Linked DNA regions of Macaca mulatta. The protein of the gene in region 2 interacts with the protein of the main gene of each other region in a biochemical or structural test. Links are inferred from orthologs where the notes say so. Each region holds a gene or a part of one and is shown on either strand. Other genes may lie near its edges. The genes, in order: APOA1 and LCAT.

Evidence for each region.
Region 1: the proteins of LCAT (region 2) and APOA1 form a complex in vitro, tested with the Homo sapiens proteins (6 studies listed by BioGRID and IntAct, with this or other methods). The link is inferred for Macaca mulatta from reciprocal best matches to the Homo sapiens genes LCAT and APOA1.

What each region holds. Positions count from the first base shown.
Region 1 is NC_133419.1:117,509,561-117,513,682, forward strand, and holds APOA1 (apolipoprotein A-I), read right to left. Parts: upstream 2,547-4,122; 5' UTR 2,292-2,546; coding exon 2,249-2,291; intron 2,077-2,248; coding exon 1,920-2,076; intron 1,331-1,919; coding exon 727-1,330; 3' UTR 670-726; downstream 1-669. UniProt on the Homo sapiens protein: Participates in the reverse transport of cholesterol from tissues to the liver for excretion by promoting cholesterol efflux from tissues and by acting as a cofactor for the lecithin cholesterol acyltransferase (LCAT).
Region 2 is NC_133425.1:63,520,045-63,524,299, forward strand, and holds the start of LCAT (phosphatidylcholine-sterol acyltransferase), read right to left. Parts: upstream 3,034-4,255; 5' UTR 3,015-3,033; coding exon 2,861-3,014; intron 2,169-2,860; exon of another isoform or gene 2,122-2,168; coding exon 1,965-2,121; intron 1,886-1,964; coding exon 1,581-1,885; intron 1,498-1,580; coding exon 1,273-1,497; intron 1-1,272. Other genes in the region: SLC12A4 (solute carrier family 12 member 4), read right to left, coding at 3,855-4,131. UniProt on the Homo sapiens protein: Central enzyme in the extracellular metabolism of plasma lipoproteins.

The DNA.
Region 1 (4,122 bases), on a different chromosome or scaffold from region 2:
GGCATGGCATGGAGCCGCAGCGGGTGGAGGGCTGGCTTACACTGCCGTGCCTGAGGAAGCGGTGGCTGTTTCTGGGTGGGATGGGAGTAGTGGGAGGGGGATACTGGCCTTGTGAGAAGAAAAGGGAAGTGTTCGAGAAGTTTTTGAATTCATAAAGGAGGAGGCGCTCAAACTCCAAGCACTTCACTTGCACCCGGGGCCACACCCCAATCCCAGTGACTCCCTGAGGCCGCCCCGCTCCGTCCCGCCCCGCCCCGCCCCGCTGACAGCGACTGGGCTGGAGAAGGCTCTGTACGGAACACCTCTGGGGACGGGGAACCCACTGCTCCCAACTAAAGCAACCCTGTTTCCTGTCCTGCCCCAGACAGGGCTGCAGGCCTTGTCTGAGTCCCTTTCAGGGCAGCTGGCCTTGGATTGTCTGTGGCTTTGCCTGGTCCACTGTGACTTCCTTTCTACTTGAGCCTTGGTAAGGCAGACTCTACTCCCTCACTCGTAAGCAGCCAGGCGTCCAGCAGGTCCTCCAACGTCGATCTTGGCCCTAAGACGCCCAGTCTGGGCACGGAGTTGTTGAACTCCGGCTGGAAGTCCCTGCTCCAGGGCCAAAGGCCCCATCCGGGCTCCCCCGATGTCCCCGCACCCCCCTCTATTCTCCCAAAAGAAAGAAGCGGCTTCCCACTTCGGAAACGTTTATTCTGAGCACCGGGAAGGGGGGCGGCGGCGGGCGCCTCACTGGGTGCTGAGCTTCTTAGTGTACTCCTCCAGAGCGCTCAGGAAGCTGACCTTGAAGCTCTCCAGCACGGGCAGCAGGCCCTGGCGGAGGTCCTCGAGCGCGGGCTTGGCCTTCTCGCTGAGCGTGCTCAGATGCTCGCTGGCCTTGGCGTGGTACTCGGCCAGGCGGGCGCCGCCGTTCTCCTTGAGCGCCTCAAGGCGCGCGGCCAGGCGCTGGCGCAGCTCATCGCTGTAGGGGGCCAAATGCGTGCGCAGCGCGTCCACGTGGGCGCGCGCGCGGTCGCGCACCTCCTCGCCCAGCGGGCTCAGTTTCTCGTGCAGCTCGTGCAGCTTCTGGCGCGTGCCCTCGTGGAGCTCCGCGCGCAGCGGCTCCACCTTCTGGCGGTAGAGCTCCATCTCCTCCTGCCACTTCTTCTGGAAGTCGTCCAGGTAGGGCTGCACCTTGGCCTTCACCTCCTCCAGATCCTTGCTCATCTCCTGCCTCAGGCCCTCTGTCTCCTTTTCCAGGTTATCCCAGAACTCCTGGGTCACCGGGCCGAGCTGTTCTCGCAGCTTGCTGACGGTGGAGGTCACGCTGTCCCAGTTGTCCAGGAGCTTTAGGCTGGGGCGTGAGACAGAAGGGTTGAGGGCTGGCCTCCCAGCGCCCCAGCCTACCGGGGTGAGCCCTGGGCAACACCTGTTCGCGGAGGTGCAGTGGCCTTGCGTTTCCAGTACACGCTCAACCAAAACCCCTGCCCCGCCAGGCCATGCCCCTTTGTGCAGCTGGACCGAGGCACAGAGAGGAGCTAAGAAGGAGACAGAGCTGGGACTGGTGCCCAGTTACGTTGGTCACCAAAGTGGGCCCTTGAAGGACCTCGCTTCTATGCCTCCAGCACATTCGCCTCTCCGAAGACAGCCCACACTCTTGCTGGGCAGGGGTAGAGGAGGTGGTGAAGAAGGGAAAGGGGTCTGCTACACTTGCAGGCACAATGTGGCACTGTGATCACAGATCGGGCAGCCCTGGTCTGTCCTTTGCAAGGGGGCATGGGCTGTGACCCTGCATAGGGATCCCATTCCGGTTTCTCCATCCAGACCATCTGTGGGACCCAGCTCATCAGATAGTAGGTGAGGACTCGGCCAGTCTGGCTTCAACATCTTCCCACAGGCCTCTGGCCCCTGCCCCTGCCCTCAACCCCAGGCTGGGTCCTTACTTTAGCTGTTTTCCCAAGGCGGAGCCTTCAAACTGGGACACATAGTCTTTGCCGCTGTCTTTGAGTGCTTCCACGTACACAGTGACCAGGTCCTTCACTCGATCCCAGGGGGTCTGTGGGGGTTCATCTTGCTGCCAGAAATGCCGAGCCTGGCTCCCTGAGGGTGGGAGGGGAGACCCAGATCAGGCCAGCTGTGGGCTGAGATCTGAGCCAAAAGGCCAAGCTTGGAGGTGGGGGAGAGGGCGCTGCCTCTGCCCAGGAGGGTGGGCCACAGGGGTTTGGGGAGAAAGCCCCCCGATGGTTGGCTCCCTAGGCTGGGGGACACCTACCCGTCAGGAAGAGCACGGCCAAGGTCAGCACCGTAGCTTTCATCCTGAAGGGCCGTGGGGGACCTGGAGGAGAAGAAGGGGCTGGTTGAGTGGGGGGCCTCTAGCATGCAGAAGCCCGGTGCTCCCCCATTCATTGCAGCAAGGTGAGGAGAAGGGCGCAGAGTGGGAGAAGACCTCAGGTACCCGGAGGCCCGGCCTGGAGCAGGGCCTGACCCTCGAGCTGGGGAGCCAGAGTCACCCGGAGCAGGGAGCAGGACTCACCTCCTTCTCGCAGTCTCTAAGCAGCCAGCCCTTGCGGGGCCTATTTATGTCTCCAGCCAGGGGCTGGGCTGGGAGGCAGATAAGCCCAGCCCCAGCCCTGTTGCTGCTCACGGGTCCTGGCAATGTGGAACTTAAGAGTTCAAGGATCAGCTCTGTCCTTGGGGCTGGGCAAATAGAGTGGGCAAACAGCAAGCTGCGGGGGCTGCAGGGCAGGGGTCAAGGGTTCAGTGGGGGCGGGAGGGGAGTGTCTGCAGGCTTGCAGGTCCCTGGGGTGGGGTCGGGGTTCCCTGCACTCATCCCTTCCCCTCCATGGGAGTGTGTGGGCGGTTGCCATTGTCCATTGTGTTGACAGAGGAGGGGGTGGAGGGACGCTGGGACTCCTCCACCCAGGAGACCTCCTCCCCCACCATCCTGCATTCCAGGGAGACTACTTCACTCCCCTTCCCCTTCCCCCCGTCCTGTCCTCCCACCAGTGCGCTTCTTTAGTCCCCAGCAGGTCCTCCAGGCCTCTCTCCAAGCCTCCCAAACTGGTAAACCTGGGGAGAGGGGAGAGCGCTCCGTGGCTCCCAGACTGAGGTTTCGGAGACCTCTTGCATCAAAACACTCTTGAGACTGATTCAGAGCTGCCAACTTTTAATTCTGTCTTGTAAAGATATTGTAAAGACCATCACTTCAAAAAGGAAAGACTTGAACAAAAAAAGGGCATAATCTCAGAATTACATTACAGAATTGAAGCCCCTTAGATTGAAGACGTCTCCCTTCGCATTGTTCACACTTACATTTGATCACGCACAGGTGAGACTGGATCTCAGCCCTCGGGAAGCCCTGGTGTGGGGAGAAGACCCTCGGGTAAGGAAGTGGCAGGAGACCACCTTTCTCATTTCACTTGGCCTCCATCTTGCTGGAGGAAGATTGTGGGCAAGTTATGTAATCTCTCTGAGCCTCAGTTTTTTATCTGCAAAATGGGGCAAGAATGGTCAGGGTTTTTGGAGGCCCCTGAGACAGCCTGTGAACGTAAAGTGCAGTGTGTCCGTTCGTGTTTGCAGCATCATCTTGTCAGGTTTCTCCTGGAAGGCCCAGACCTCCCCCAGCAGGTTACTGACAGGACCTGAGTCCTAGAGCCCGTGATGCAGGCTGAGAAGAACTGTGAGATCACTCCAGCCCCTTCCCACGCCACCATCTCACAGATGAACAGACTGAAGAGCACGGAGGGACTTTGCCCAAAGGCTCTCATCTCTCAGGGAGTTAGACGCAAGGCTGGACCTAGAACCCAGTCTCTGGACTTAGGATGCAGGGCAGACATGTGCCCTGTACCATCACCCCAGGAAACTCCCTAACACTACAAACCAGCCTGACATCTCTGTTTACCAGATCAGGGAGTGGTCGGCCTCATGCCTTTCACTTCAGAGAAGATTCTGGAGCCAGAAAACCTTAGATTTGAATCCCAGCTCTGCCACTTACTAGCTGTGTGACCCTGGATGAGTTACGATGCGTCACCTCCCCACACATCAGTTTCTGATTGAAGATAATGATAGAACATGCCATCGCCCAGAGTTACGGCAGGGGTTACTGTGTGGCAAGCAGAATAACGCTCCCCAAAGATGTCCACATAC
Region 2 (4,255 bases):
AGGTCAGGAGTTCAAGACCAGCCTGGCCAACATGGGGAAGCCCCGTCTCTACTAAAAATACAAAAATTAGCCAGGCATGGTGGCACATGCCTGTGATCCTAGCTACTAGGGAGGCTGAGGCAAGAGAATCACTTGAACCTGGGAGGCGGAGGTTGCAGTGAGCGGAGATTGCACTACTGCATTCCAGCCTGGGAAACAGAGTGAGACTCCATCTCAAAATAAATAAACAAGTATTTTGTAAAAGGCCCAGCACAGTGGCTCACGCCTGTAATCCCAGCACTTTGGGAGGCTGAGGCAGGAAATCACTTAAACTCAGGAGTTTGAGACCAGCCTGGGCAACATAGCAAGACTTTGTTTCTACTAAAAAATAAAAATAAATTAGGTGTGGTGGTGCATGCCTATCGTCTCAGCTACCCAGGAGGCTGAGGCAGGAGGGTTGCTTGGGCCAGGGAGATTGAGGTTGCGGCTATGATCGTGCCACTGCACTCCAGCCTGGGCAACAGAGTGAGACCCTGTCTCAAAAAAAAAAAAAAAAAAAAAATGTAGGCGGGGCTTCCTGAGGACGGGGTGTGTGGGGATGGTGGGTGAGGCCCGGGATGTGTGGGGATGGTCAGGGCGGTGCTGGCTGTCTTCCCTTGGGCATGTGTCTCTCTGCTCCTTGTGTGGCTTGTGCTGCATTGGGGGCCACAGACTTGTGCTCCAGAAAGGGAGAAACAAGATGGTGTCTGTTTGGCATTTATTGGTGGTGTCTGATGAGTGTTTCTCTGTCCAGACTGTGTTTCTCTCTCCAGACCAGCTCCCACGGTACAGGGGGTGGGGAGTAGGTGGTAGCTGTGTCAGTGCTGGGCCCTGGTGCCACTCCCTAGGGAAGGGCAGGCGGGGCTCCGGGGGGTCTGGCCCTAGCTCTGGCAGACCCATCCTCAGTAAAGCACATCCCTCGGCAAAGGCACTCCTGCGAGCAAGCGGAAGGCAGGCAAGGGTTGGGTAGGCAGGCTCTGGGGCTACAAGGAACAAACCTGGGGGCAGATAGCTGGGGTTCACTTTCTGTTTTCACCGCCCTTTTGCCATCACTGACACAGACTCTGGAAGGAGCCACCCTAATTGCTCAGGCCAGGGTCACTGCTCTGGAGGCCAGTGACAGCGAGCATGCCTGCCCAGGGGTGGTAGATGGCACCCCCAGAGGCCACCGTGAGCAGGAGCCGCAATGAAGGCAGGCCCAGGATCAGCTTCGTCTCACCCATCGCTGGGCCTAAGTGGTCGAGGCCTTCTCACCTGAGGCCAAGACCAGCATGGGCTTGATGGAGCCGCCCCAGGGAGCCCCAAGAGAGATGAAGCCATCGATGAAGCGGTCCTTCCAGGCCTGGGGCTGGCGCAGCAGGAAATAGAGCAAGTGTAGACAGCCAAGGCTGTGGCCAATGAGGAAGACAGGCTTCCCATAGGCAGCGTGCATCTCCTCCACCAGCCCTGCGAGCTTGTGGTAGTACTCCTCCTGCTGGCCTGCAGTGGGTGGGAGGGGTCAGGGCAGTTGGGGTCCGGGGCACCTGCCCCACCCCAAGCTGGTCATCCGTAGAGACACTCACCGGGCTCCAGCCGCCAGTCATAGGGGGCGGCGCGCACAGTCTCGTCCCGCACGTAGCCGTTGTTGACCAGGTTCTGCACCAGTGTGTGCAGGTACCCTGTGGGGGGAGCAGCAGCACCGGGGGCTGGGCCGTGCCTGCTGCGGGCCAGCACCCCAGCCTGGAGCCCCAGCCCTGCCCTCTGACACAAACCTGCCAGCTTGCTGCTGTCCAGGTACTCCACAGAGTAGGTCTTGCCAAAGCCGGGGACGCGGATCTGGACACCGGGGGCGTTGGACACAAGCCCAGAGCTCCGGTTGTAGACAACCCTGCAGGGCGGGGGTGCCACTCAGCAGCCAATAGCCAAGGGGCAGTGTGTCGGGGCTGGGGCGGAGCACATGGCTGTACCTGGTGTTATCGATCCAGCAGTCTACCCCGAGGGGTAGGAACATGTTGAGATCCAGCCAGATGGTGAAGAAGTCCTCTGTCTTGCGGTAGCACATCCAGTTCACCACATCTGGCTTGTCCAGCTTGGCTTCTAGCTGATTCCCCAGGCAGCCGGGCACTGTGAGTAGTGGCCCTCACTCTGGACTCTGGATTCCCCCGGTGACCCTTACCCCAGTCACCCCAGATGCTGCAGTGACTAGACCCACCCCCAACCTCCCACACCCTCAACCCTAGGTACAAAGCACACTTACCCTCCCCTGCTCACACCCCCTCTCCCCGCTGTCCCCCCAGTAGCCAAAGCCCAGGCCTCCCTGAGGAAGGGAAGGTGCTGAGGTGCTGAGGCCAAGGCCGCTGACCCCTGCCTCTGCAGAGCAAACACCCAGCCTGGCGCTCCTTTATTTCCAAAGTCCAGGGTGGGAACAGATAGGTCTAGGGGCAGGGGGGCTGGGCTTAATAGGGGCCGGGCATGGATGGGCCTCTCCTGCTCACCGGTCCTGGGCTGGGCATCTTGTCCTTGGTGGGTGGGGGCCAAGGAAGGAGTGGTGGGGTTTGGCCCAGAGTCTGGTGTGGCTGTGGCTGACCACAGCTTGTGATGCCCCAGCCAAGACCTCAGGCACATCCTGTCCCCCACTCCGCCCCCCTGGGGTAGGCAACTGAGAGACACGTAGTCGGGCGTCGGGGAGAAGGGAGGTCATTCCTCTATGGGACAAGCTTTTGGCCCCTCCCCACACCAAGGCAGGTACTTACACCGGGGCATATGCAGGGCAGAAGGGTTTTGGCCGGGTCAGCTGCCAGGGGCTGGGGCCCAGGCTCCCCAGGGTCTGGCGTTTTGCATCAGGGGCCTGGTGGGGGCTTACCGAGGATGACGGGCCGTGTGTGGTTACTGAGCTCAGCCTTGGGCGTGGTGTGCGGGGGGAAGAGCACATTGAGGAGCCAGAAGGGGGCGGCAGGAGGGAGCAGCAGCCCCAGCAGCAGCGGCACCCACTGCCATGGGGAGCCGGGCGGCCCCATTCCAGCCCTGGTGCCTACTGCCAGAGGAAGCGGCACTGGGCTGGCCTTATCTGGTGTGGCAGTGGGAGGGGCCCTAGGGCCAGTGGGAGGGACGGCCTGGCCAGTGGGGGTTGTGGCCAGAGATTGCCGGAAAGGGGCACAGCCTTAGGGAGCCGGCTCTGGGCCTGGGTTCAGTTCCGCCTTCTTCTCTTGGCGCCAGGGGAAACAGAGCCGGGGCAGCAGGAGGCCCAGAAGTACACAATGTTTTATTGAAAAAGTCAGGCCTCAGCTCGGCTGTCTCCATTCGGCTCAGCTTGGTGGGGGGCCCTGCCCATAGTTGACTGAGCCAGATCTTCCTGCAGGCAGCTGGGCTGGACTCCCTCCCTGGCTACCCTTCCCTTCGTCTCTGATGGTGAGATCCAAATAATAAATATGCAATAAATAGCGCTCCTGGACTGGGCTGCGCCAGCTGCCTTCAAACCCCACTCGGCCCCAACCAGTCTTCTCTCGCCAGGACAGGCCTACTGGGGTGCTAGACAGTAAAGTCCCCAAACCTCCCACAGTCCCACAAGACCTGGGATCCATCTCCATTTTGAGGCCCAGGCCTGGTTTCCAAGGAGACCTAGCAAAGCTGGGTCCAGGACAGGGCCAGGCAAGCAGGGCTGGCAAGTGGGTGCTGGGAAGAGGCTGTTACCCCAGACCACAGCTTGTGATATCCTGGCCAAGACCTCGACTCCAGGCCACAAGGTGACACTGGGCTCAGGAGTAGATGGTGATGACTTCACGGCCACCACCACGCACCAACAGCACCCGCTCAAGGCCCTCGGTCAGTACCTCGAGGAACTCCATGTCTGCAGGGCCTCAAGTCAAGGAGGCAGCAACAGAATCAATGGGTAACCAGGGCCACCTGGGCCACACCCACCCAGGGGGCCCGGGAGAGGAGCTGCTGGCCTGACCTCCCACGCTGCCCACCTCCCAGTTGCTGCCCCTCCACAAAGGGATCCAGTTCTCGTCGCCCTCGCTGTTCTTGGGTGGGCCAGGCATGTTTAGGAGAACCAGGCGGGCGTCGTGGGAGCGCGTGACAATGACTTCATTGAGCTTCACAGCGGTGTGCATGCGTCGCACGTTGGACTGGTCCCTACACGTAGTGCAGCCAATCACAGGTCACCATAAGCCATCCTGCAAGGAGGGTCCCCACCCCTGGTCCACCTAACACCGCTTGTCTGCCCCACCCCACCTCCACCCCTAGATTCCAGCGCCAC